7 linked regions of the Sus scrofa genome follow. The main gene of each other region encodes a partner of the protein of the gene in region 5 in a complex. Links are inferred from orthologs where the notes say so. Each region holds a gene or a part of one and is shown on either strand. Other genes may lie near its edges.

The links.
Region 1: TADA3 (region 5) and MBIP share a complex: the UniProt entries of both Homo sapiens proteins name them as parts of the ADA2A-containing complex. The link is inferred for Sus scrofa from reciprocal best matches to the Homo sapiens genes TADA3 and MBIP.
Region 2: TADA3 (region 5) and KAT2A share a complex: the UniProt entries of both Homo sapiens proteins name them as parts of the STAGA transcription coactivator-HAT complex. The link is inferred for Sus scrofa from reciprocal best matches to the Homo sapiens genes TADA3 and KAT2A.
Region 3: TADA3 (region 5) and TADA2A share a complex: the UniProt entries of both Homo sapiens proteins name them as parts of the ADA2A-containing complex. The link is inferred for Sus scrofa from reciprocal best matches to the Homo sapiens genes TADA3 and TADA2A.
Region 4: TADA3 (region 5) and TADA2B share a complex: the UniProt entries of both Homo sapiens proteins name them as parts of the TFTC-HAT complex. The link is inferred for Sus scrofa from reciprocal best matches to the Homo sapiens genes TADA3 and TADA2B.
Region 6: TADA3 (region 5) and SUPT7L share a complex: the UniProt entries of both Homo sapiens proteins name them as parts of the STAGA transcription coactivator-HAT complex. The link is inferred for Sus scrofa from reciprocal best matches to the Homo sapiens genes TADA3 and SUPT7L.
Region 7: TADA3 (region 5) and KAT14 share a complex: the UniProt entries of both Homo sapiens proteins name them as parts of the ADA2A-containing complex. The link is inferred for Sus scrofa from reciprocal best matches to the Homo sapiens genes TADA3 and KAT14.

The regions. Positions count from the first base shown.
Region 1 is NC_010449.5:63,657,732-63,662,022, reverse strand, and holds the start of MBIP (MAP3K12-binding inhibitory protein 1), read right to left. Parts: upstream 2,801-4,291; 5' UTR 2,716-2,800; coding exon 2,587-2,715; intron 1-2,586. UniProt on the Homo sapiens protein: Inhibits the MAP3K12 activity to induce the activation of the JNK/SAPK pathway. Component of the ATAC complex, a complex with histone acetyltransferase activity on histones H3 and H4.
Region 2 is NC_010454.4:20,641,493-20,644,728, reverse strand, and holds part of KAT2A (histone acetyltransferase KAT2A), read right to left. Parts: intron 3,025-3,236; coding exon 2,918-3,024; intron 2,725-2,917; coding exon 2,614-2,724; intron 2,529-2,613; coding exon 2,389-2,528; intron 2,305-2,388; coding exon 2,096-2,304; intron 1,860-2,095; coding exon 1,733-1,859; intron 1-1,732. UniProt on the Homo sapiens protein: Protein lysine acyltransferase that can act as a acetyltransferase, glutaryltransferase, succinyltransferase or malonyltransferase, depending on the context.
Region 3 is NC_010454.4:38,873,702-38,877,955, forward strand, and holds the start of TADA2A (transcriptional adapter 2-alpha), read left to right. Parts: upstream 1-1,454; 5' UTR 1,455-1,554; intron 1,555-1,555; exon of another isoform or gene 1,556-1,695; intron 1,696-1,879; exon of another isoform or gene 1,880-2,079; intron 2,080-4,254. Other genes in the region: ACACA (acetyl-CoA carboxylase 1), read right to left, coding at 851-870. UniProt on the Homo sapiens protein: Component of the ATAC complex, a complex with histone acetyltransferase activity on histones H3 and H4. Required for the function of some acidic activation domains, which activate transcription from a distant site. Binds double-stranded DNA.
Region 4 is NC_010450.4:3,818,114-3,821,613, forward strand, and holds part of TADA2B (transcriptional adapter 2-beta), read right to left. Parts: intron 186-3,500; coding exon 1-185. UniProt on the Homo sapiens protein: Coactivates PAX5-dependent transcription together with either SMARCA4 or GCN5L2.
Region 5 is NC_010455.5:66,073,473-66,076,972, forward strand, and holds part of TADA3 (transcriptional adapter 3), read right to left. Parts: intron 2,499-3,500; coding exon 2,248-2,498; intron 2,130-2,247; coding exon 2,024-2,129; intron 791-2,023; coding exon 649-790; intron 554-648; coding exon 450-553; intron 1-449. UniProt on the Homo sapiens protein: Functions as a component of the PCAF complex. The PCAF complex is capable of efficiently acetylating histones in a nucleosomal context. The PCAF complex could be considered as the human version of the yeast SAGA complex.
Region 6 is NC_010445.4:111,538,170-111,541,669, reverse strand, and holds part of SUPT7L (STAGA complex 65 subunit gamma), read right to left. Parts: coding exon 3,489-3,500; intron 2,276-3,488; coding exon 2,013-2,275; 3' UTR 1-2,012.
Region 7 is NC_010459.5:26,498,457-26,501,956, reverse strand, and holds part of KAT14 (cysteine-rich protein 2-binding protein), read right to left. Parts: intron 3,165-3,500; coding exon 2,748-3,164; intron 2,633-2,747; coding exon 2,064-2,632; intron 1-2,063. UniProt on the Homo sapiens protein: Component of the ATAC complex, a complex with histone acetyltransferase activity on histones H3 and H4. May function as a scaffold for the ATAC complex to promote ATAC complex stability. Has also weak histone acetyltransferase activity toward histone H4.

The sequences.
Region 1 (4,291 bases), on a different chromosome or scaffold from region 5:
ATAAAGATATATTACTTTAGTTCAAATATAGATCTTATGAATTGTGATTACAATATAGCAAAAAGATGAATGAATCACTGTACAAAAAACTGAAAAGATATGAAGTTCCCACAAAGGCACTATATTGAATGCTATATGAAAGAAATTTCCACCCTTTGACCAGGAATATTTAAAGTCCATATCAGACAAGCATAAGGAACTAAGTTTTGTGTAGGCTGCACTAGCAGATGAGTTTATATTAATTTAACTAAAGTTTTACATTAAGATTGCTACATTAATCTTAATTAATTTAATGCCTATAAAGATTTTGTTAGACAACAACTTATGTATGAAAGTAAACTATACTTTCACAGTTCCAAAGAGATCTATAGTTGGTTATAACAAATTTATATATACATTTTGGGATAATGCAAATCCTCAACCAAGACAAAGCAACAAATTTACCAAATAGTAACTTATAGAAATTAATTTATGTTTGGATCATAGTCTCATTTCAATACAGCAGAATTATGTAAGCTTTCAAGTGAAATTCAAGATACTTGGTCTTTTAAGAAAACCATATAACAACATTAAAAATTAACTTTAAAACTATCCCAATACATTCAATTATTATTCAACAAATTCCCTATTAGTAATATGAATTCTATGCATTTTTAGGCTATAGAACTTGTAACTCTAAAACATTCACTCGAAAATGTATAAGTCAGCCATTAATATGGACCATTTAAAATATGCATTTCAGTAAAAACTTTATAAATATGAAAATCCAAGCTAATAATAAATAACTCTTCAGCTTGTAAAATGGACAATCCAGAGGCAAGTAATAAAGTTAAAATTAGTAAACTGGAAATCTAGGATAGAAAATACTGTTTAAACATTCAATTTTATGTTTCCTATTGAGGAGAGCTAATAATACAATGATACTATATAGAATGAACTAGGCATTTTACAACATACAGTTAAAGAAATTCCTTAAACCAGTTTCAAAAAAAAAATAATGATTCCCACTAGGGGCAATTTTATAAGTATAGTACTCTGGCTTTCATCCTTATCTTTATACATCTCAAAATATAGAGTATTATCAAAATGGCTAGCAGTTAATTGATGAGATGATTTTTTTTCCCCAACACTTGTATAAATGGTTCCTTCACTGTCAATAAAACTCACCAAATATTTAAACATTTTTGAGGTGACATAAATAATTTGTAATCATACTTTTCCTACAGAATAGTTGAATGTTTAAAATGTTAAAATAAGTTTTAAAAATTCAGTATGCCAACTGTTTCAAAAATGTTTAAATTATTTCTTAATGTTATTTAAAAAAATCTCATCAGTGGGGGGAAGTCTGTAAACTACAGGTGAGCATTAACCTTTCATCTTGACATTAGGATATAAAAAAAAAAAAACCTTAAAGTTCCAAAGTCACATCATAGAAAGTTCTCAAACTTTTAAACCATTTAGAGGTTTTAAGTCTTGACACTGAAATATTAATGTCCCTGTCTCAAAAAAATATTTAAGTCCTTGAAAAACAACTCTTTTAGCCGATTCTATTGATAATTATTCGCTTACACCAAATTGTGTATTTAATTTTGAGTAATACTCTTTTTAAGTCAGAATATATTAGAATTTTTAAAAATACTGAAATAACCTTTTAAAAAACTGATTATCCATCCACCGAAGGCTTTTAAAAGTAATTTTCACAAATCAAACGCTCTATTTTCATAAAGGATGTTACCATTATCTTCCACACAAATACCTAATCCTATCTAAGATTTAAAAAAAGATTTCCTTTTAAAAGCAGACAAACGGTATTTTCAAGTTCGCATTTTAAATTTCCTTTACATCTTACATCATGAAACGAAATAGTGACTTCACTGGAACAGAGTAAAGAGCACTTTTATTTGTTCGATTCTATAATGATATTTCTACAAAAGCTATTTATCAGCCAGTTAAGCTAGTTAATATTTAATAACTTGTCAACAGTTGTGATGCAAACAGTATAAACCAGGGATAACTTATCCAACTTAACACTAGAAGTGGTTGAATTAATTCCTTTTCTCTTCCTTCCCGTTTTGAAAGGGGAAGAGATGCAAGCAACAGCCAGAAAGAAAGAAGAAATAAACAAACCCAACTGACTCCTAACGGTAAATCACCCAAAAAAGGCGGAGAGGGAGCTTTTCCAGAAATCTCAGGCCGTAGACTAACCTATCAATTTCTATAATGAATGAATTGGAGGAAAAGGGATCCACAGCGCTAGGCGCCTCCCAAACCCTCACAGCTTTTCCGCACGCATTCTCTTCGAGCTTGTTTCTCTCCTAGCGGGGTTTCACTTACACTATCCTCATTCGCTCTTGGGGAGAAGAGTTGCAAAGAAATCTAGCCTGCAACCGGTCTTGAACTAACCCACGCGCGGCCAGCCTCACTTAGACCACAGGCGGCCGGGCCCGAGCTCCTCCCCCAGCCTCGGCTATTCTGGGCCGGGTCCCACACCCCGCAGGCCTCCGCCGCCCCCGCCTCCGCCGGAGAAAGGAGAGGGGGAGGGGCCGGACGGTTCCCAGATCCCTACTCCCAAAGCCCACCACTCACTTGTCCAGCAAGGGTATGCAAGGAGCGAAAGACTTCGCAGACCACCTCTTGGGAGAGGTTGGGGCTGCAGCTCCGCTCCATGCTCCTGTCACCGAGGGTCGCGCGACTAAGCTCAGCGGCGGCAGCCATGACACTTTCGTAGGCCACCCCCACCAGCACCAAGGTGTGCTCACAACACACCCCTCCCTCTCCTGCCTTCGTCGCTCCCCGATGATGTAAACACACTGCGTCTCATTTAGAGCGAGACTGTAAGACCCCACCTTCCCTACATGACTGACAAGCATGTGCACCAATAAGGTGCAACTACAGCATTCCTTCAAGGACCGTGAGCAAGAGATTGCCAACCTGGGCTTGGCTTGCTGCAATATTTGAGATGGTGATTTGGAGTCGTTATCTAATGAGAGTTAGCTTCTTGAAGCTTAGCTTGACGCTTAGATGTTGATTATGAGTGTTGCTAAGAGAAAACTTGTAGTTAAATGTTAGAGTTTTAGTACCAAATTAAAGTTGAGATTTTACCACGGCACTTTAGAAAGATCGCTGGTCAGGGACGCAGTGGATCCACACATATTTCTAAACACTGAAAACACACAGAATTGTCATAATTGGGTAGAACATTTTCGTCTATACACAATTTAACATCACTTTTTTTTCATGAGAGAAAGAGGAGGATATAACCACCTCCCCCCCAAAATACCCCTCTTTTATGCCTCATTTACTATCAAGGGAATACTACTTTAAATCTGCAAAATAATTCTGTCAAGTTTTAAAACTTGCATAGTTGCTGTTCTCTGAGTGATATGGTATACACACTCATCTAAAACTGTTTCAAAGAAAACAATGTCAACATGATTCCAACAGGAATTTAACCCAAATAAGTAATTGCGTGAACACCATCTTTGAAAATAAAGATAAATCCGAATTAAAATTCAACAAGTTATTATTTATCCAGATAACTGTATTAAAAGATATCTGAAGGGCTCTGTAGTATTCCGGGGTCAAGCATTGAAAATTTTGTTGTCCAATTGAAAAAAAAAAAAAAGTTTAGACGAATGCTTAATGTTAAACTCTATTCAAAACCACTTGAAAAATAAACATCATGTTTAGATATGAGGGATGAAAGATTTAAAATTCTTAATTCTAATTGTCTAATGCGTTTACAGTAGGAGAAGCAGAGTTGGAAACTTGCACAATGTGTATTCTTCAGTTTTAGAGTAGGCTGAATGAAAGGGGAGGAATAAACCATCAAGGAACTTGGATTAGGGGCAGTAGAGATAAAAGAATGCCTTTGACCTGTCCCTAGGGAGCCTCTTAATTAGGCTTTCATTTCCAAGGATCAGCAGGCTTGACAGGATCTTAAGTAATCTCGTCCGCTCCCTTGTTCACAGCAAGATATAGAGTTTATAATCCAGCCTATGCCTAGAGACATCCAGAAACAGATTTCACAATATCTAATCCCAAATTGAGCAACCTTCTTCCCATTCAAGCTACTCTTCCCCGTGTTAACCTAAATCCAAGAGTCTTTGCAATGTTAAGGTATTTTCCTGGCCTCTAGTTCTCTTGTTAGAGAATAATTCTAATGGGGTAACTGGAAGTTTTTGCTTTATAACATATTACCAGCCAGTTTCAGATAATTTGTTTTCTTCTAGGTATAAAGGGTTGGTTTGTTTGTTTTTCAGATATTCAGACCCTGGTATGAAACACACTT
Region 2 (3,236 bases), on a different chromosome or scaffold from region 5:
GAACTGGGTGGGGGAGGGGGAACTCCACTCATCGCAGCATCTGAACCCCCAGAGACAGTGACTTCTGCACACATCAGGATCAAGGAGGCACCATGCAGACCTGTTCAGATCTGTAAAACTGGACAACTAGGGATCCTACTAGGGGGTCTGTTGTAACAATAAAGGACAGAAACCAGAATTATCACCCACCCAGCTCAGGGCTGTTGTAAAACTTATTAACTCCGCAATGTCAAGTAAAAGTTCTTCTGATGAAGGACATACAGATCCACTCAAAAGTGTTGCTGTAGGAGTTCCCATCATGGTTCAGAGGTTAACGAACCCAACTAGCATCCATGAGGACGGTTCGATCCCTGGCCTCGCTCAGTAAAGGATTTAGCATTGCCGTGAGCTGTGGTGAAAGTTGAAGACTTGGCTTGGATCCTGCATTGCTGCGACTGTGGTGTAGGCCGGCGGCTACAGCTCTGACTGGACCCCTAGCCTGGGAACCTCCATGTGCCATGGGTGCAGCCCCAAAAAAGACAAAAGACAAAAAAAAAAGTGTTACTATAATCTGAAGAGGAGTTCCTGTCGTGGCTCAGTGGTTAATGAATCTGACTAGGAACCATGAGGTTGCAGGTTCGATCCCTGATCCCTGCCCTTGCTCAGTGGGTTAAGGATCCGGCGTTGCCATGAGCTGTGGTATAGGTCACAGACTCAGCTCAGATCCTGTGTTGCTGCAGCTGTGGTGTAGGCCGGTGGGTACAGCTCCGATTTGACCCCTAGCCTGAGAACCTCCATATGTCGTGGGAGTGGCCCGAGAAAAGGCAAAAAAAAATAATAATAAATTAAATAAATCCGAAGAGTTCTTATCACAAAGAAAGAATATTTTTTCTATTCCTTTAATTTTGTATCTATATGAGATGATGGACGTTCACTAAACTTACTGTGGTAATCATTTCAAAACGCATATGACTCAAATCACCATGCTGCACACCCTAAACTCACACAGTCCTATGGGTCAGTTTTACCTCAAAAATACTATGAGGGGAGTTCCCGTCGTGGCGCAGTGGTTAACGAATCCGACTAGAAACCATGAGGTTGCAGGTTCGGTCCCTGCCCTTGTTCAGTGGGTTAACGATCCGGCGTTGCCGTGAGCTGTGGCGTAGGTCGCAGACGCGGCTCGGATCCTGCGTTGCTGTGGTTCTGGCGTAGGCGGGTGGCTACAGCTCCGATTCAACCCCTAGCCTGGGAACCTCCATATGCTGCGGGAGCAGCCCAAGAAATAGCAACAACAACAACAACAACAACAAAATACTATGAGGGAGTTCCCGATGTGGCTCAGTGGGTTAAGAAACAGGCTAGGATCCATGAGGATGAGGGTTTGAACCCTGGCCTCGCTCATTGGGTTAAGGATCTGGCATTGGCACAAGCTGCAGTGTAGGCCGGCAGCTGTAGCTCTGTCCAGCCCCTAGCCTGGGAACTTCTGTATGTCGCAGGTGTGGCCCTAAAAAAAAAAAAAGAAAAGAAAAGAAAAAAGAAAGGAAAAAAAAAACCCAACTAGAAGGAAACAGAAGTGTAACTGATTCTTGGGCTCCATTTGTCAACGGGTGTTTCCTTGATTCCGTCATCAACCACAACTGCCACCTTGTGGGAGGGTGAGGAACTGCCTGGCCATTAAAGGAGGGTGGGATGACGGGATCCAGATGAAGAAGCAGGTGGTGGGATGGAGCTGGGGCCAGGGGCATGGACTCACCTTGACCTGCTCATTTGAGGTGACAGCACAGAAGACAATCTCCGTGAAGCCCTGGGTGGGAAACATGCGGAAGCAGATCCCACCAATGACTCGCCCGTCCTTGATCAAGGCCAGAGTCTTGTGCTTCCTGAAGGGAGAGGTGTCAGGTCACAGGCCCTACCTGACCCCAGATACTCCCCAGGACCCCGCAGCTCTGGAGGCCTGAGCTATACTCAGTGCTGGGAACTAAGGAGCAAAACGTGCCCAGGGTTGGAGAGAGGAGTGTGTGTGTGTCTGCGCGCGTGCGTGCATGCACGAGTGCAGTGGAGAAGCCTAAGCGGAGGTGCCTGGGCATGGCAGCGCTGGGCTCTCCTGGGGACGTACGGGTCAAAGACGAGGCGGGCGATATACTCCTTGGGCATGCGCGGCAGCTGGTGCGAGAAGACATTCTGCAGCCCCACCAGCCACAGCAACACCCGCCGGTTGGCCTTGGGCGTGAGCGAGTTGCCGATGACGTGGAACTCGATGATGCCACGGCGCTCCTCCAGGCGGGCCGTCTCGTCCCGGGCTGCATTGGCCGACAGCAGGCTCGTCTGGGCGCCAGAGGAGGGGCGGTAAGCAGGGGGCTCAGGTGGCGAGGCCCCCTCCCCGACCGGTCAGGAAGCCAGGCGGCCCACCTCGGGCCCCAGCATGGCAGCAGGATCCGTGATAGTGAGCATGACCTCGTTGACCAGCTCCATGGGGATGTCGCCCATCACACGGAGCCGCTTGGCATCCTCCAGGGTCAGGTTCTCGGGGAGCTTCCTCTTCTCGCCTGCTGAGGAGGTTGACAAGGTCTCCCGGGGAGAGCAGAAGTTGGGGGAGGGGGGGACGAGGACGGAGGTCAGGGGTCAAGTACCCACCTGGCATGGGCTCGGCTCCTGCGGAGTCCAGGCTCAAGGAGCTGTTGCCACCCCCACCCATGGTGGGGCTGAAGATGGGGGCGCTGGGAACAACCGCGGCACTGACTGTAGCTGAGACACGAAAAAACCAGAGGATGGAGAGCGAAGGCGCTGGCGCATCTTGCAAAGGGAGGTGGACTCTCCCACCCACGGCCGAGCCCTCCCGTGCTTCCCCACTGCCGCCACGCACAGCCCCTCCTCCACAGAGGCGGGGAGGGCCAAGCCGAGAGCCTGCGGAGCCCGGCCGGCCGCACACGGCACATACCCGGCCGGGGCACCATCTGGGTTCCCTCCGAGGGCGGCATGGTGAAGCCCGACTCCCAGATCGGAGAGTTTGCCCCGTAGATCTCCTCCTCCAGCATGGACAGGAATCTGGCGGGGGAGAGGCACAGTCTGTCCCACAGCTCCATCCTCCAACCAAGGGAGCAGCCTGGGACAGACACTGGAGGGACTGGAGGCTGCCCTCAGGGAACTGGCGCCTAAGAACAGAGACGGCCTCTGCCTTCAGATGAGGAGGCACAGCCCCCTGCAATTTCTGGGAGCCCCTCACTGAAGGGAGGGCAACAGAATGATCCAGATCAGAA
Region 3 (4,254 bases), on a different chromosome or scaffold from region 5:
TTCACACAGCTGCCTCCCCCATTTAATGATTAGATTTCTGCTTATGATTAAGAGGACTTCCTTGTCTACTGCATCCAACAGAGTGTCCCCACATCACTCTTATCCCTTTATCCTGATTTTTTTTCCATAAAAATTGCCACATTACTGGGCATTATCTATTATATACTATGTGTATTGCTTATTGTCTAAATATTGCTTATTGTCTACCTCCTCCACGATGAGGCAGAAACTTTGTTTTGTTCACCGAATTCCCAGCACCTAGAACTGGTATCTACTCATTAAAAATTTGATAAATGAAAATAGATTTCCAGGGTATATCAAATGTAAAACTACTTTATATTTTTTGAATGAAGTATAGAAAAATATCTAGAAGAATGTAAGGCAAAATGGTAACCATTTAACATGGTAGGAGCTGGTTTTCATTTTTTGTTCATGCAAATATTCTTTTTTTTTTAGAACGAACTTGTATGACTAAGAAATGAATAAAAAGGCCACACAGGCAGGTGTAAATGATTTCTCTAAGAGGTTGGGCAAATTGATGGAAGAAAGACTTCTAAATAGATGCATGAGCATAATGGCTAAGACAAACCACTGTTTGAATGCCCTTCCCCAACACCATCTAGCTGTGTGAACCCAAGTTATTTACAAGGTAGAGTCTAAAGGTCTTCACCTGGAAAATGGGGATGATAATATTACAAGTGTCTTTTCCATAAGGTTATTTTTGAAGATTAAATGAGACCATGTATGTAAACTCCTTTGTACAATGCCTGGCATGCAATAAATACTCGACAAATGGCAGCTATCATAATAATAATAATTAGCAGTAGTAACAAGAGATGTTGGGACATACCTAGCCCTCAAGACTGACATCAGAGTGGACCACCACATCCTCTCATCATCGCGCCTCAATTTGGGCACCTAAAGCCCAAAGAGAGGATGGTTTTTCCAAAGAAGATAATTTCGACGTTCCAGAAGCATCTGAATCAAACGTACCCCATGTACCCTTGAACCATTCAGGCAGTCTGGTTAATCCATGAGTAGCACTGCAAGACCCGGCCTCGAGGGGGGACCACCACTCGCCGTCCTTGGGCCCAGTCCCTCAGCCTCCATTTCCTTTGAGGCTGCAACAGGGGTGGCAGGAATGTTACAAAACGCAAAAGCGGGGCTGTACCGGCCCGCTCCAGCTCACCGCACTCTGGAGGGGTCAAACGGCAGCACGCATCCGCAAGTCTGCGGCGACGAGCAACGCGCCCCGAGGGAAAAGTGATTACTGGTCCGACTCAAAAGTCTGGCAAACTGCTCAGAGCCCCATCCTCCCAGGCCTCTGCTGGAGGCGGGCGGCGAGCTCTCGGCGAGGTCAGGGGCTGGAGCTGAGAGAGGGGAGGCGGCGAGCGCGCGCCACGCGGCGGGGCCGCGACGGCTGGGGCGGCGCCTGGGCGGAGGCGGCGAGCGCGCGGCCCGCTCGCGCCTGCGCCGCTCGGGAGCGAGCACGCAAAAGCCCGGGCGCGCGCACGGCTGGCGTTTCCTCGGCGCGGAAGAGGGGGACGCGGCGAGGTGAGGCACGAGGCGCTGCGGCACGGGTGGTGGCGTGGTGCGGCGCGAACCCCTCTCGCGGGACGAGGGGGAGAAGGCGTCCTCGAGGTTCCCCGAGGGTGGGGGAGGGCTGCGGACCCCAGCGGCGTCGGGGGCGAGAGGGTGAGTCGGCCCGACTGGCGCGAGGCGGGGGCCACGCCGTGCGGTGGGGGAGGGCGGCGCGTGCCCGGCCCGAGCCCTGGTGCCCCGCCCCGCCGCGAGCCTGGCGACTCCCGCCCCCTGGGCGGTCCTGCTGGGTTCCGGCCTCCGCTTTCCTGACTTTGCGTTGGAGGGCGTAATGCGGCTCACGACAGCGTATGGTTGATGTTACCTGTTGTTCTCAAGTAGGCCTTCCAAATAGATATTTCAGGTTCATTTTAGAGCTGTGCTTGTCTGAGCCTCCAGTAAAATGACTTGCCCAAGATCACAGTTAATAAGGAACAAAATGAGGCTTCGAATCTTGTTTGCAAAACTCCAAGCCTGCCCCTGTCCTCTGAACTGCAGTGAGTGAGTAATCTTCACGTCCCTTCCCTCCTCCCAGTAATTTCTTTGAACAAAGCAGATGTTAATTTGGAGCTAGCACCCAGCCTTTCGTGGGTATTAGCGTCAGAAATGTCTCCTGTGTGAAAAAAAGACGGGGAAAAAAAAGATTCTGCTTATTGCAGTATTGCACTTACAACGTGGAGTGTTCACGAGACTTTATATAAAGTTCCTTACTTGACTATCTCTAGTTGACCTCTGAAGTGACATTGCTATTCACTACGTCTAGGACATTGTGCCAGTAACACAATCTTTTAGCATTTCCTTTCCCTCCTTGAAAAAGCAACATGTCTCTGAAGGTTGTAAGGATTCAGAGATGATCCACATACAGTGGTACCACAGTACCTGGTATATGAGAAAAGTTCAATAAGTTTTGGCCATTATTTTATTATTAAGTGCATGATACCACTTACTAAACTCACTTTTCTTCAGACTCATTTTCCTGGGGCTAGACCAGAGGGAGAACCACCCCAACCTACCCTAAAAAAGACAAGTTCATTGACAGTGTTGTATATTCTTAATGATAAATTATTCTCCAAGCCAAAACTATCCAGTGAAAGAAGTCACTGCAGGAAAACTAAGGATGAATTAACTTTTTTGTAGAATTAGCATTTATTTGTCCATTACATTTTTGTTTATTGAGTTCTTTCTGTGTGGCATTGTGTATGGTACTTTAAGACATACAAATTTGTATTTGATGTAGTTCCTGTTTTCATTTAGGCTAGAAATGGGAAAAATATGCATCCATAAGTAATCTTCACAGAGCAGTGTGAAAAATGCCGGAGAAGGGATAGATAAAAAGCTATGGGGAGGAGTTCCCATCGGGGCTAAGTGGTAAAGAACCCGACTAGTATCTATGAGGTTGTGGGTTCAATCCCTGGTCTCATTCAGTGGGTTTAGGCATTGCCCTTGAGTAATGGTGTAGGTCACAGACATGGCTGGAATCCCACGTTGCTGTGGCATAGGCTGGCAGCTGCAGCTCTGATTCTGTCCTTCGCCTGGGACCCTCCATGTGCTTCAGGTGCAGCCCTAAATTAAAAAAAAAAAAAAAAAAAAAAAGCTATGGGAGGAGTTCCCACAGTGGTGCAATGGGTTAAGGATCTGACATTCCGAAGCTGAGTCGTAGGTCTCAGATGCAGCTTGGGTTTGATTCCTAGCCCTGGGAACTTGCATATCCTGAGAGTGTGGCTGCAAAAGGAAAAAAAAGCTATGGGAGTATAGAAGGTGATATTGGCTTAGTGTGAAATATGAGTTCATTTATGTCTTAATAAAGATACTTTGTACATGGTACTTAACTGTTAAATATTTGTTCAAAGAATAAATTAGTGAACAAAATTTGTCATAATAGATAGGGTTTTTTTAGTTTGTTGTTGTTGTTGCTATTTCTTGGGCCGCTCCCGAAGCATATGGAGGTTCCCAGGCTAGGGGTTGAATCGGAGCTGTAGCCACCGGCCTACACCAGAGCCACAGCAACTCAGGATCCGAGCCGCATCTGCAACCTACACCACAACTCACTGGGCAAGGGCAGGGACCGAACCCGCAGCCTCATGGTTCCTAGTCGGATTCGTTAACCACTGCGCCACGACGGGAACTCCATGGTTTTTTAGTTTTCTAGTGATAAAAGTTCATTCGTATTAAAGTATTTTTGAAAAGATAGAGAAATGGAAAAAAAAAAAAATTTGTGCCATTTTTGGGAATGAGTATCTCAACAACCAGAGCTCATGAACCAGATTCTTTGGCTAGTGAATGACTGAGCTCTAACTGCCCTCTGTCCTTGTATATCTTACAAGATTCAGGTTCTGTAAGAAGAGTTTTAGTTGCTTTAGCTGCTATGGGGGTGGGGGACGGAGTGTTATGATTTGCAACAACCTACTCCCCCAAAGCCGTGTGAAATGTGGGAGAGTCACTTTCCTTCCCTAAGGAAGGAGGGCTGAGGAGAGAAGTGATGCTGCACAGAGAGAACCAGTTGTTGCCTATTAGAAATATATAGCCTTTGTAGAGGGCTTATCATGGGCCAGGTGCCATGGTATATTATTTATGTGGATATTGATTATTTTAATCCTCACAACTCTAGGAAGTAGATATGATTGTATCATATTCATTTCCAGAGGAGGAAACAAGCTTATAGAGATAAAATAATTT
Region 4 (3,500 bases), on a different chromosome or scaffold from region 5:
GGCAAGGGGGTGGTGAGGCTGGGAGACAGGGGGCCTCCACTGGGGCAGGTGTGGTCTGTCACCCGGTTGGGGATGGTGTCAGGGATGCAGGCTTTCCCCAGGTTGCCGTGGATGTACATGCTTACGTAATGCTCCATCACTTCCTGGGGGGTCCGGGAAGCGCCCACGTGAGCAGCCATGTCTTCCTACAACGACAAAGCGCAGAGGTCATTCCAGAGTCAGGGGAGGCGCAAATTCCTTTAACATTTTTGCACAGGGTCCCCTGAACTACTTTATGACGTCATTATGGCCACCTCCCCAAAGACACTCAAGCACGGTTCTCCCCGGCGCGCAGATGGGATCTCGAGGATTTCCGAGCTGGAAGGAGCCTCCCGAGATCCACTGGACCCAGTGGGGATCCAGACAGGAGCAAGACAAGCGCGAGCTCAGTCAGGACCAGTCCAAGAGGCCACTTCCTCTTCCCTCCTGCAAACCTGCCCACGGAAGGGCCGAGGCTCTGTCTTTGACCCCCCTCAGATCCAAGAGCCAGCAGCATGTCCCTTTCCTAGGTGGCAGTCAGATGACTAGGAAAGAGACTTTTATTTTTTTATTTATTTTGGTCTTTCTAGGGCCGCTCCCACCGTAGGGAGGTTCCCAGGCTAGGGGTCAAATCAGAGCTGTAGCTGCCGGCCTACGCCAGAGCCTCAGCAACGCGGGATCCGAGCTGCATCTGGGACCTACACCCCGGCTCACGGCAACGCCAGATCCTTCACCCATGGTTCCCATGGATGCTCATGGTTCCTAGTCGGATTCATTACCCACTGAGCCACGATGGGAACTCCAGGAAAGAGCCTTTTAAAGGGGGAGGAGAGCCATCCCTTCTAGCAGCCCCCACGGTCCGGCAGGCAGCTGGAAACCCGCCCCAGGCCGCAAGCACGCATCCCTCCAGAAGGTAACCCGCGAACACAGGGTTATTAATGGGAGGAAATTGTACAACTCCCTCACTCTTTCCTTCTGCCAAGAGGCCTCTTCCTTAAGTCAACCGCTAAAGCCACTTCAGAAAGTGACTGCCCAAAATGCGCACTCATTCCCCCCGGCGGCCGCGCAGCACCCCACCTGCCTCGCTCGGCCCCCTCTCTGCCCTCCCCGCTCCGGCACAGGCTCCCTGCCGCCCCAGAATCGCTCACCCCCGACTGAGATCGGGGTGGTCTCTGCACCCCTCGAAGGCCATACGGGAACCCAGCCAGTCCCCTCGGGCTGAACGTGCTGACAAGCTGGGCACCGCGGGGAGGGAAGGATTCGTGGCACAGTGACCAGCCCGGCGTCGCGGGGCCTCAGCGGCCTCTTCCCTCCAGGGGGCCTGCGCAGGGTGGGGCTTAGAGGCCCCGAACACAGAAGCAGGGCAGGGCCTGACCCCAGAGGCCTCTGAGCACCAGGAAGGGAGAAGGGGAGAAGCTGACACTCGACTCTGCCTCGTGGAGGTGGACTGGCTGCACGGTTTCCTCTTTAAAAGTCACGGTGAGCACCAAGTGCGTCGCTATCCCTTCCAGGGAGCATCTGGTCCAAAAACCAAAAGCAAGTCACCAAACCCAGCAGCCACTGTCACTCTGTGACCCAGGCAGGCCACTCCCACCTCAGATCCGCAAGTCCTCAGAGTTATGGAGCCACAGGAGGCTGTTCCCCCAAAAGGCCCCCCTCGTGGCGCTGCTGAGGCGCTGGGGGACTTAATACTCTTCCTGCCCCCACACCGCGGGGCCAAGGAGCCCCTGCAAGGAGCTGGGACGGGGGGAACGGATGCGCTCACCAGCCGGCACCCACTCAAAGCTGCAGGCGCCAGGAGGGCAGCCAGGGGCGAGGCGAGCTTGCCCCGCGGCTTCTCCCCACGCCCCTGCACCCATCCTGGGCTGCACGCTCAGGAATTTGGGCCCCAGGTCTTGGCCCCATCCCTGGTCCGGCGCAGACCTGCCGTGAGAGGTCTGCCCTCCTGACAGGTCTGCTGTCCACCCTGAGCCTCAGCGGCCTGCTCTCCAGAAACCACCAGGTGCTCAGAGCACCACGCAGCGGGGGGGCATGCGAAGCCACAGAGAACAGGGTCCTGGATGGCCAGGTCGCATGTGACCACAGCCAGGTACCTTCATTCATTTGTCCATCCCGACCCTCTGGGAACGGAGAGCAGAGGATGGAGGCAGCAAGGAAGCCAGGGAGCACGTGCGTCCTCACGCAGGTTCATTCCGGCACACCAGGCAGCTGAAACCACGCCGCAGAAGTGGGAGCACGCGTGGCCACCCTTGTGCCAAAACGGGGCCACAGGGGCTGTGCTGGCGGCGCCTCAGACTCTTTCCAAGGACAGTACCCAGGGCATCGGGCGGGGTTGGGTACATCACTCACACCTTTTTATGACTTAGCCTTCTCAACTTTATGGATGCACTGCCCACCCTTCAAACTAAGGAAAAATCCCAACCAGGGCGAAGCAGCAGGAGGGGACCCTGGTCCACCCTCTGCGAGGCCAGGACGTGGCTCCCGGGATCAGCAGAGCACGGCAGCCAGACCCGATTAAGACGTGTGTCTGGTCAGAGACACGCAAAGTCGTGTGCGGACCGGGGAGATGTTGCAACGTGTCACCGGGGGTGGCGGGCCCCCTCCCTGTCTGTGGGTCTGCGCGTGAGCTCCTGCTTCTGCTCGCGATGGAACGTCCGCTTCCTGCCCGTGCGGCGCTGAGCGAGGGATACGGCCACTGGGGGTACTGTTTTTTAACTCTTCTGAGCAAAACTAAACGTGTTTAAAGGTAAATTCTGCCTCGACGCTCTAAGATTCTCACTCAAAATATTTAAAGGAAAACAGTAAAACAGACGGCTTAAAAGAGACGACGGCTCTTCTACTCGATGTGCCACAGCCAGTTAAGGACGCGGCGTCGGCGCAGCAGCGGGGCAGGGAGCAGCTGCGGCTTGGACTTGATCCCTGGCGGGAGTGTCCCCACGCCGGCCGGTGGGGGCAGCCAGAAGAAGGAAGAGGATGACTCTTCTGTTGCACCCAGCGCAGAGCTAACACGCCCAGGGCTTCACAAGCGCCACGGCTCGGTCTGTGCGCATTCACGCTGCCGCGGTGCCGCCTCCCCGTCCACGCACACAGCCTGGGTTCCCTGCCCCGCCAGGCGAGCAGGCCCGGCAGCTGCGGACGCGGCACTGACCTCAGTGATCTGGCTCCTCTCTAGGTAACAGAGGGGACCCCGGCTCCAGATGGACCCGGGTTAAGGGGATCTATGAAGCCACAAGTCACAGGGGCTAGCGACCTGTCACCAGGAACCCCCATCAGCAATCAACCTTAGCCACCGCCTCAAGAAGGCCACTGTCAGGAGAGACTGGCCGTCAGCTACTCGTCCCCCAGGGACCACAACACGAGCCTAAAGACTAGTGAGAAAGGCCCAGGAAAGCACACAAGACCCTAACTGCCAAGGCGCAGCCTCAAGGAGGGGGATGACCTAACGCTCTTTTTGGTCTCTTTAGGGCCACACCCACTGCACA
Region 5 (3,500 bases):
GCATAAAGAAAGGGGGCCTAAACCTGGGGTTTGAGTCTTGCTTCTATAAGCTGTGTGTCCTCAAGCAAACAGTTCCCTTTTTTGAACTTCAGTCTTCTTAGGTATAACATGGGGTTAACCACTGTCTTTGCCTTTAACGAGAGGATGTGTAGAAAGTCCTTTGCATAGGCCCTAGCCAACACTCAGCAAAAGTAACTGTGGAGCAGTGGCTACCTTGCGGGGGAGGCTAAGAACTGGGAGGGGCATGAGAGGGGCTTCTAGAATACTGATGATGTTTAATTTTGTGATCTTGAGGTTAGTTGTATAAAGGTGCTCATTTATGAAAATTTATCAAGTTGTACTCTCATGCTGTGTACCTTTAAATGTATAATATGCTCCAATAAAAATTAAAAGTAAAACAATGAAACAGAAGGTAGATACCAGTTCCTTTTTTGAGTTGGGGTGCTCACCTCCACCAAGGCCTGCAGGAGGCGCTGTGTCAGGGCACCAAAGGGGCACCCATCTTCTGGCTGCTCATGCTGGGCCTCAGATTTCTTCAGCAGGGCATCCACGTCTGAGGTGGGCAGAGAAGTGGTAGACAGACAGGTGGGCTTAAGTTCTGGGAACTCAAGTCCTGGCCTGGGGTAGGCAGGGAGGTGAAGGGCTTACCTTTAGTGTCTAGTTCAGTCAGTGGCCCCATAAGGCCTTTCTTCTTGTCAGCCATGGCTGCTGCCCGAGCCCCGTCCTTCTGCTCCTCCAGCAGGTCCTCCTGTGCCCAGCGTTGGGAGTAGTGCTTCCCCAGGGGCGGGATCTGTGGGAGACATCCCACCCGGCCCCAAAGAAGTGAATACGGGCCAGCATGCCTGGGGCGTGCGTGCTCTCTGTGAAGTGGGGATGGCCAACAGACTCTTTGTTCATTCTTTACTCCTTCACTTCTCTGTCTCCCAAGTAGCTCACCCAGGGACAAGGCCTGAGCATGGTACAGGTGAGAAGAGACAAAGGAGATAAAATCTCTACACTCACAGTCTAGTAAGGAAGCCAGGTACAAAAAGAAGTACAACACACACGGAAGACGAAACGGAACAATTTCCAAGTATAAGGTGCAGAATAGTATGTATATGTGGACCATCTCAGGTGACAGCTATTGTCTCCGAGAGAACTAGAGGCCTCAGGGTCAGAAGTGAGAGGGAAATATCTTTTGCGTTGCTTGAATTTATTACTGCTTCTATGGATAACTTTTTCAAATAAATTCTTTAAAAATTTAGGCAAGTGACAGAGGCAAGTCAAGGTGCTGTGGCAGTGCATCTTCTGCTCGGGAATCTGCAAAGGCATTCTGGTGGAAGTAATGTGTGATCAGGGTTTTGAAGGGTGTCAGATTGCCAAGGGGAGAAGAGCATGTGCAGAGGCCCAGAGACCAGCAAGGACCCTGGGGGGGGGTGCTGCTGATAAACACAGCAGTGAGGAGGGGGCGTGGCCAAGGAAACAGGAGAGAGGCGCTGGGACTGTGCCACCATGGACTGAGATGCCTGGACTACTCGATTCTGGGTAACAGGAGCCAGGGAGAGGCCAGAGAGCAGGGTCATGTCATGAGCACATCTGATCATGACAGCTGACCTATTGGAGAGAGCTCCCCTCCAATGCTTCTCTGTATTTTCTACATTTTCTTTAATGGAACCTCTTTTATTTTCCTCATAAAAAAAGTAAACTTTTACACATCAAAAAATTTAAAAAAAAGAATCCCTCTAGAAGGAAGAAAGTGTTAGGCTGTTCAGGTAAAGGCTGATGAAGGCTTGAGCCAAAGAAGGGCAGGTGATGAGAGAAACAGACCTCACTAGGGAAGAGGCCTTAGGTCATGGTGACCATTTACATAGGCTAGAAAGGAGAAGGTGACGTTAGTGCCTGTATGTTGAGGTGGGTTAGCAGAGCAGACAGGAGGCTGGGCAGCACAGGGGAAGGAAGATGATGCAGAGCTTAGGGTCTCAGATTCTGAGGCAACTCTGAGCCCTCTTGTTCTCCACATCTACCTAGGCTTGGGGGTCGCTACCTTGTAATGTTCAGCCTCATCTTCTGGGGGTTTCAGTAGCTCCTCCAGTGTGCGCACCTCCTCACTGGTGATGTCAGCACAGTAGGGCTCCACTGAAGCCCAGAATCTGCAGGGCGAAGCAGAGCCTGAGTGAGGGCCCCTCCCCCACCAACCTCAGCCCTGGGCCCCACCACAGCCTCCAATGCCCGAATCCCGAGGCCCATCTATGTTCTCTGGCCCAGAACCTGTTGGGGGCGTCATTCTTGGGGATACGTGGCACGTCGATAGGGTCATCAGTGAATTCATATTCCTGGATCTTGGGCTGAAGGTTTTTGGATTTGGGTCGCCCAGGGCCAGGGCCCGGCCCATGTCCTGCCTTCCCTTCCAGTTTCTGCTTCTTGGGTTTCCCATGTTTGGGGGGAGCTCCAAGCTCATGGTCTCGACCCAGCTTCAGGAATCGTCGGTCACCTTTCTTATCCTGCCAGTCGGTGAGGATCTGAAATTCACACACTGTCACTGAGAGGGAGAAGGGAAGACACAGGCAATTCGTCCTCCCAGAGAAAAACTGGGATCTAGAACTCAATTAGGCTCCAAGTCTCTCCTTATTCCCTTTATGTCTAGCAAATTCCTACTCATTCTGCAAAACTCAGCTCCTTATCTGTGCCCATCTCACAGGATTTTATTCATATTCTTCTAATCATTCTATTCACTTGTCTATACTGACTCACCTATGTAGCACCCAAGCCAGTTACACAGTGTTTAGCAGGTCAAGCAAAGAGATCACATCTCAGGAAAACATGCTGGGAGTAATTTTTTGGTATAGGAAAGCAAGCTTTCCAGCAAACCTTCTCTTCAAATATCGCCACAACTGGGAAGCCTTCTCTGCATCAGTTACACAGCTTCTTAGATGCTAAAACACAACTGATTATGCCACAGCCCACTCAAAAAGCTTCAATGGATTCCCAGGGACCACAATTTTTTTTTTTTTTTTTTTTTTTGCTTTTTAGGGCCACACCTTTGGCATATGAAGGGTCTCAAGTTAGGGGTCAAATCGAAGCTGCAGCTGCTGCCCTATACCACAGCCATAGCAATGCAGGATCTGAGCTGCATCTGCAACCTACACCACAGCTCATGGCAAAACCAGATCCTTAACCCACTGAGCGAGGCCAGGGATCAAACCTGCACCTCATGGTTACCAGTCAGATTCGTTTCTGCTGCACCATGATGGGAACTCCCACGAGTTAATTTCATTCTTTTTTTTTTTTTTTTTTTGCTTTTTAGGGCTGCACCTGAGGCACATGGGGGTTCCCAGGCTAGGGCTCCAATCAGAGCTACAGCTGCCAGCCGACGCCACAGCCACAGCAACACAGGATTCAAGCCGTGTCTGTGACCTACACCACAGCTCACGGCAACACCAGATCCCCAACCCACTGATGGAGGCCAGGGATTGAACCTGAAACCTCATGGTTCCTAGTCAGATTCATTTCCACTGCGTCAC
Region 6 (3,500 bases), on a different chromosome or scaffold from region 5:
ATTTTATCCCTGCCTAACCTGTATTCCAGTTCAGTGGTTCTCAAAGTGTGGTCTCTGGACCAGAAGCATCAGCATCACCTGAGGAGTTACTACGAACAGGACACTCAGGACCTAAATCAGAAAAATTGTGGGGGTGGGGCCTACCGATCTGGTTTAACAAGGCCTCCAGGGGATTCTGATGCATGCTAAGTTTGAGAAACACTGCTGTAACGCAACTAATTCCAGGCCAAGTGAATCTCAGGTATCAATGCTCACATGGCCTGCTTTATCAGAGTACCCCAACCAGGACAAGGACCATCTGGTGCCTCTCTTCCAATTTAAACATTCTAAAAATAAAAGTATTTTGTTTTACCATGAAGTATTAATTTTAATACTCTATTTTAAACGAATACCACCGGTGTAAAAACTTGAGCCTCTTCATAGGAACCATCTGCACAGTAAATACATGCTGATGTCAGATGTCAATTTTTTCTTTCCCTTCGTGCCTCTGAATACTTTTTCCTTAAGGAGGAACTTGTCCAGCTTATGCCATAACCTCCATAAGGGCAGGGACAAAAATACTCATCTAGGTATCCTTGCACATGGCCTAGTACATAGTAGGTACTCAATAAATGTTTGCTAAGTGAATGAATGAAATACTAGGTGGCTACTTTATGGAAACTGACCACCTGATGTGTACTTTCATAAACAAGGGAAAATGAAGCTAAGCCTGGAACAGGAAGCATTTAGAAAAATGTACCAAGGATGTGCAATTAGCAAACCTGTTAACAGTTTAAATTATAACCTCATTTTGTTGCTGTTGCACTTATCTCTATTCTCAATGCCTGGGACATTTAAGGCCCTCTAATGTGGGCCTTGATTTTTGGTCTGTACTAAAGGAGTGCCCTAAATCTCACAAGACTTGTATTCTGCACCCCCAAACCAAACCTCAGCAGTATTTAACATACACACATTTGCTAATTACTCCTAATCATCCCAGTGCCACATCATTTAATAAATACTGATTGAGACTGTCAGGTGCCAACCAGGGCAGATACTATGACGGGTGAGTAATAGCAGTAAAGTTGTTCAGGACATGCTGTAAAGTAGAAAGGTGCATCTTGTCATCCTTTTAGAGGCTGTCCATCCAGGAGAAGCACAACGTGCAGATACAGAGTTCTGGCAAAGGAACGGACCACTGTCCTCTGATGGCCAAGCCGATGCAACAAACAAAATGGCACAACCCTGTCCTTGGACAGGTCCTGTTTGCTTCATTTACAAAGGAGAAAATGAAAGAAGCAACTGAAAAATGTACATAGTGAAAAAAAAAATCTGAGTGGAAATCAGAAAGTAAAGACAAAAAATGGGGATCCATGGCACAAGTCTAGAGAAAGACTATGTGGCCGAGATAGGAGAGGTGCTATCTGAATAAGCAAAAAGGCTGTTTGCCACAGACCCCTCTGATTTTTTAGGAGACTTCATGGATGGCAAAAAGTTTGGGAAAAAAGGTGAGTTGTGCAGTGTTTAGCTATTTCCTATTAGGCATTAGCACTGGATTCCCAAAGACCTGAACCAAAAGTGAGGCAAGTTAAAAGAAAAAATTGACATCAGCATATATTTACTTGTGCGTCTGTTCAAGCACAGCTTTGAGGCTTAATACCATTTCCATCTTCATAACGTCCCTGCAAGGTCGGTCAAAGCAGTAGGATTCTCAGTTGTGCAAGAGAAATGGCTCTAGAGAAGTTAGGTCACTTGTCACACAGTAAAGACAACAGTCAGGGACAGTGATTTGTCTCGATTACTACCCCAGCGTCATCATGTTTGTGAAAGGTGGCTTGGTTGTTGTAGAAAACTATAAAACCGAATGCAAAAGGAAAATGCAAACTTATTTGGTTTAAATCCAGTTCCACTGAAATCAGGAAAATCCACCGTGTTTAAGAAGAAGAGTCAAATCGCTGTTTACGGAAACCAAATGTATCATGGTCTGTTGTTGGGTCTTGTAGGTCTGGGCAGAAAATCTCCCTCTTTGCCTTTTATATCTTCCTCATCCTCTTCTTGCAGCGCTGGTTGAAAACAGGGGAGGACCCCATGAAGCTGTCAGTGGAGTGGGAGCCATAGCTGCTGTCTGAGTCATCGGGGCTCTGGGGGATCCCAGCTTCACTCATGCCTGACATTGGCTCCTCAAACACGTCGCTGCCCAGCACGCCGTGCCCGGAGACATTGCCTTCTTCACTCTCCTGAGGCTCCATTTTCACATGGGCCAGGTTCCAAAAAAGGGAAGCATTTGCCTCTGCACCTAGGAATGGATGAACATAGAACTAACTAGCAGTAAGGAAGGCTGGAACAAAGCAGAAAGCACACACCACCCACAGCTAACCGATGGCCCTTGAGCTCAGGTTTCACTCTGATTCTCTACTTGGCTGGAGAATTTGCTCAGAAAGTTACCAGCTTTGAATATCTTCTTCTCCACTTCCTCACCCTCCTTTACCCCATCCCATCCACCTCCATTTTCCCTGAACAAGGGAAGTGGAGAGATTCATGGTTCAAAGGCAGGCACAACCATGGGCTCTCCATCGGGGGTTACATTGATTTGCCTGCCCTTTGGTGAGGCTGTCATGTTTTCCTGCCTTGTGTTTGGGTCCCTGGTCCTCTCTCATGTTATGAAAAGTTAATGATCCAGTACAGAATCCTGACATGAACCCCACATCTGCAACAATTTCTTTTTTGGCTCTCTTGCTCCGTGTGTTCTGGCAATACTGTTCTGTGGTTATTATGTCTTTCATGGTGAAAGGCTCTCTGCCCAATACTTTACAAAATGTGGCTTAATTCTGTTTATGCCACTCTGGAGGACTGGCTATTTGCATTATTTGTGCACTGGTGAAATGACAATTTATATTTGTAAATAACTGAGTATCTAGATTACTTTGCAATCGAATTGACTTAGGGATGGAGTCATCTGGTTCTGAAGGTAATCACGGTCTGTCTGGAAGAGGAGGCCAGCTGCCTGTCACTGGGTAGCCCTGTTTCAATCCCTTCACTTCTGATTTGTTTGGGAGCACTTTAGAAAGACCCCCAACTATTCAAGCATCCTTGAGCAATTAACGTTATTCCATCTGGAATAACTTCTATCTGGAAGTTGTCTTCATCAGTTGAGTACAAGCATCAGGAATAACCAGTACAGAATACAGAGAACAGGAGGCCATCAGCCCTCCCAAACTGGGTCAGCTGAATTAACTGGTAATCAAGAGGATAACACTTACTGCATCTACATCCTAACTAGGAATTATGGGAAAGATGCCTACAAAGCTGTGCAAGTTCTCTCTTTACTAATTACAAAGAGAATGCTGGTATCTGGATCAGTGAAGCGCTATTTGTTTTTAGACTTTCCATCCTCCTGCCCATTATCTCCACTTTTGCTCTTCCATTTCCTGAATTTGATTCCAAAATGCAAGAAGTACTGAGATTGGTAGATCTCCCAGAATCAAAATGGGTAAGTTGATTTCCCTTACTTGAAGCCTGTG
Region 7 (3,500 bases), on a different chromosome or scaffold from region 5:
TCTTCTCAGATGCACCTCTTAGAATCATGACAGTAAAAACAAAAATAAACAAATGGGACCTAATCAAACTTAAAAGTTCCTGCACAGCAAAGGAAACCCTAAACAACACAAAAAGACACCCACAGCATGGGAGAAAATCTTTGCAAATGAATCGACTGACAAGGGATTAATCTCCAAAATTTATAAACACCTTCTGCAGCTCCACACCAAAAAAACAAATAACCCCATCCAAAGATGGGCAGAAGATCTAAACAGACAGTTCTCCAAAGAAGACATACGGATGGCCAAAAAACACATGAAAAGATGTTCAACATCACTCATGATTACAGAAATGCAAATCAAAACCACTATGAGGTACCACCTTATACCAGCCAGAACGGCCATCATCAAAAAGTCTATAACCAATAAGTGCTGCAGAGGGTGTGGAGACAAAGGAACCCTGCTAAAATGTTGGTGGGATTGTAAATTGGTGCAACCACTGTGGAAAACAGTATGGAGATTGCTCAGAAAACTAAAAATAGAACTACCATTTGATCCAGCAATCCCACTCCTGGGCATCTATCCAGAGAAAACCATGACTCACAAAGACACATGTACTCCGATGTTCATGGTAGCACTATTTTCAATAGCCAAGACACGGAAACAACCTAAATGTCCATCGACAGAAGAGTGAATCAAGAAGGTGTGGTACATATACACAACGGAATATTACTCAGCCATTAAAAGGAACGAAATACCGGCATCTTTAGCAACATGGATGGCCATAGAAATTATCATGCTAGGTGAAGTCAGTCATACAATGAGACACCAACATCAAATGCTTTCATTGACATGTGGAATCTGAACTTCTTTGCAGAACAGATACTGACTCACAGACTTTGAAAAACTTATGCTTTCCAAAGGAGATAGTTCGGGGGGTGGGGGATGCACTGGGGTTGTGTGTTGGAAAGCCTATAAAATTGGATTGTGATGATTATTGTACAACTATAAATGTAATAAACTCGGTGAGTAATAAAAAAATAAATTAAAAAAAAATCCAACCTGTGTTAGAACCACACCCACTCACTGTTACCATCTATGCTGATTTCATACCATATGGCAGTGCTGGCCTGCAAAGCCAAAACTGCTTACTATCTGACCCTCTGCAGAAAAGGCTTGCCAACCCCAGGGTCCAACATCCAAATGAGAGGGGTGCTCCTAACAGACGGAGCAGAGCAAAGAGAAGCTAGGAAATTCTGGAACTCAAGAAGGAGCGTTTCATATGGAAAGAGCCATATACCAAAGCCCAGCAGCAGAAAAGAAAAGCCCCACACAGTACATCACTGAACAGCATCAGAACACTGGCAATAAAGACAGGCAATGAGACCAGATCCAACTAGTTCCCAAAGAAGATAGGAAAACGTGAAATAATCAAAATAAGCAATTCTCAGACAACCAGGAAACAGGGAAAATGTTTAACTTCACCTGTAACCAAAGAAACATGAATAAAAAACAAGATTTCATTTTCAGCCATCATATTAGCAAAACAAGTTAATCTGATTAACTGGTTAGTAATAAGCACTGTTCCCGAGAGCACAGACAGGGTTCCACCGAGGTCTTCCAGCCATGCTGACCCTGGCTACTGTTTTCTTAGGGTGTCTCCCGATGACACAGATGTCCACACTCCTTCACTAATGCTCAGCTGTGTCTAGTGCACTGTCCTAACAAACCTGTCAATCAGCGCCATGTACAGCCACCCTCAGCAGCTAAAAGATACAGAGTCTAGGTTCTGTCCAAAATCCCCAAAAGGAAGACAAAAGAACCAAACTCAGATATACTAAGGGACATTGGACAATTAAAAAAAAAATACTGTCCAGCCATTTTTTTTTTTTTTTGGCCACACCCTCAGCATGTGGAAGTTGCTTGCCATAGCAGTGACAATACCAGATCCCTAACCTCAAGGCCACCAGGGAACTCCCAAACCCAGTCATTTCTGTATTTCTCTCTCTTGCTCTGTCCTGCATTCCTGCACGTGCTCCATGGAGCAGCAGCCCCAGGAGTCAGGGAGTGTGGCCAAAACTCACCTGGTACCGGTCAAGGATTCTGAAGTCCTGACAGGTTGTCCTGTATGTGGCTTGTCCAGCTGGAAGCCTGGAAACTCCTCCATCTTTGGCCCCATAAATCCCATCCACTAAGAGAAGCGCCGCATTGACAACCTGATCCAAGTCAAAGAGCGGTAACCCTCGGTCCCGCTTTGCCTGCCTGACGATCAGCTTCCGCTTCAGCCGCCGGGCCTCTGGGGTCATGGCCACGGCACCAGGACAGGCTTCCAGGCGCTTGAGGAGCAGCTTCTCCTCGTAGATGCTCACAGGGGTGAACTTGGGCCCTTTGGGCTTACGGTCCTTCTCCAGCGCCTGCTTCCTCTTCTCTCGAGCCCTCGTTTGCAGGGATGTGTTGGAGTCTGTGTCTTCACTATCAATGTCCATCCTGTCGGGCTTCTCCTCCTCACTTTCCACCTCCTGCTTTATCTGCTCAGGGGCCCTGACCTTCTTTCTGCCCCCGACCCCTGTCCCTGAGGCGGAAGAGCAGGCAGGGGGCGGGACGTACTCCATCCCAGGGTCTATGACGCCGTCGCCTTCCAGCTCATCATCATCTGTGTGCAACAGAAAAGAGGAGGGAAAATGCAGGCCCACCACCCACGAGGGGGAGCGGACCCACTGACATGGAGGCCCACACACAACACAGAACCTGAGAACCGTTGGTCTTACCGTGAAACAAGGCTTGTGGCGGCATCACATCTGGAATCAGATCAGCTTCTGACAGCAGGCTGGGTGTGGCTGAGTGGGAGGCGGGGGTCCCAGGGGCAGAGAAATCCAGAGACGGAGAAGGAGATGGGCTTGTCAGTGGGGTGCGGTCGGAGGAGCTCAGGGAAGAAAAGTCGATCACTTCTCCTTTTTCCAGGATCATATCTGGCCTGCGGCCTCGGCTTACAAATTTTACGGGGGTGGATGAGGTGCTCCGGTCCAGAAAGCCAGCCGCCTCCTTCTGGGCTCTTCTGATGTCCTTTGCTTCCTGAGTCCGAGACCTTTTCTCTTTCAATTCCATGGCAGATTCCACAGGATTCCGACTTGCCCGTTTCCTAAGTCCCTCAACAGTAATGATGGGATCTAAAGTTGGTTTTGAGGCTGCAAGAAAAGAATAAAATATCTATTTTTTTTTTCTTTCTCTTTTTTTTTTTTTTTTTTTTTTTGCTTTTTAGGGCTGAACCTGCAGCTTATGGAAGTTCCCAGGCCAGGGGTCGAACTGGAGCTACAGCTGCCAGTCTATACCACAGCCACAGCCACAAAGGATCTAAGCTGCATCTGTAACCTACACCACAGCTCTCAGCAAAGCCAGATCCCTAACCCACTGAGTGAGGCCAGGGATCGAACCTGCAGCCTCATGGATACTGGTTAGATTCCCTTCTGCTGAGCCACTACAAGAACGCCTGTTTAAAATTCTTTAAAGCTCATTAAAAATTT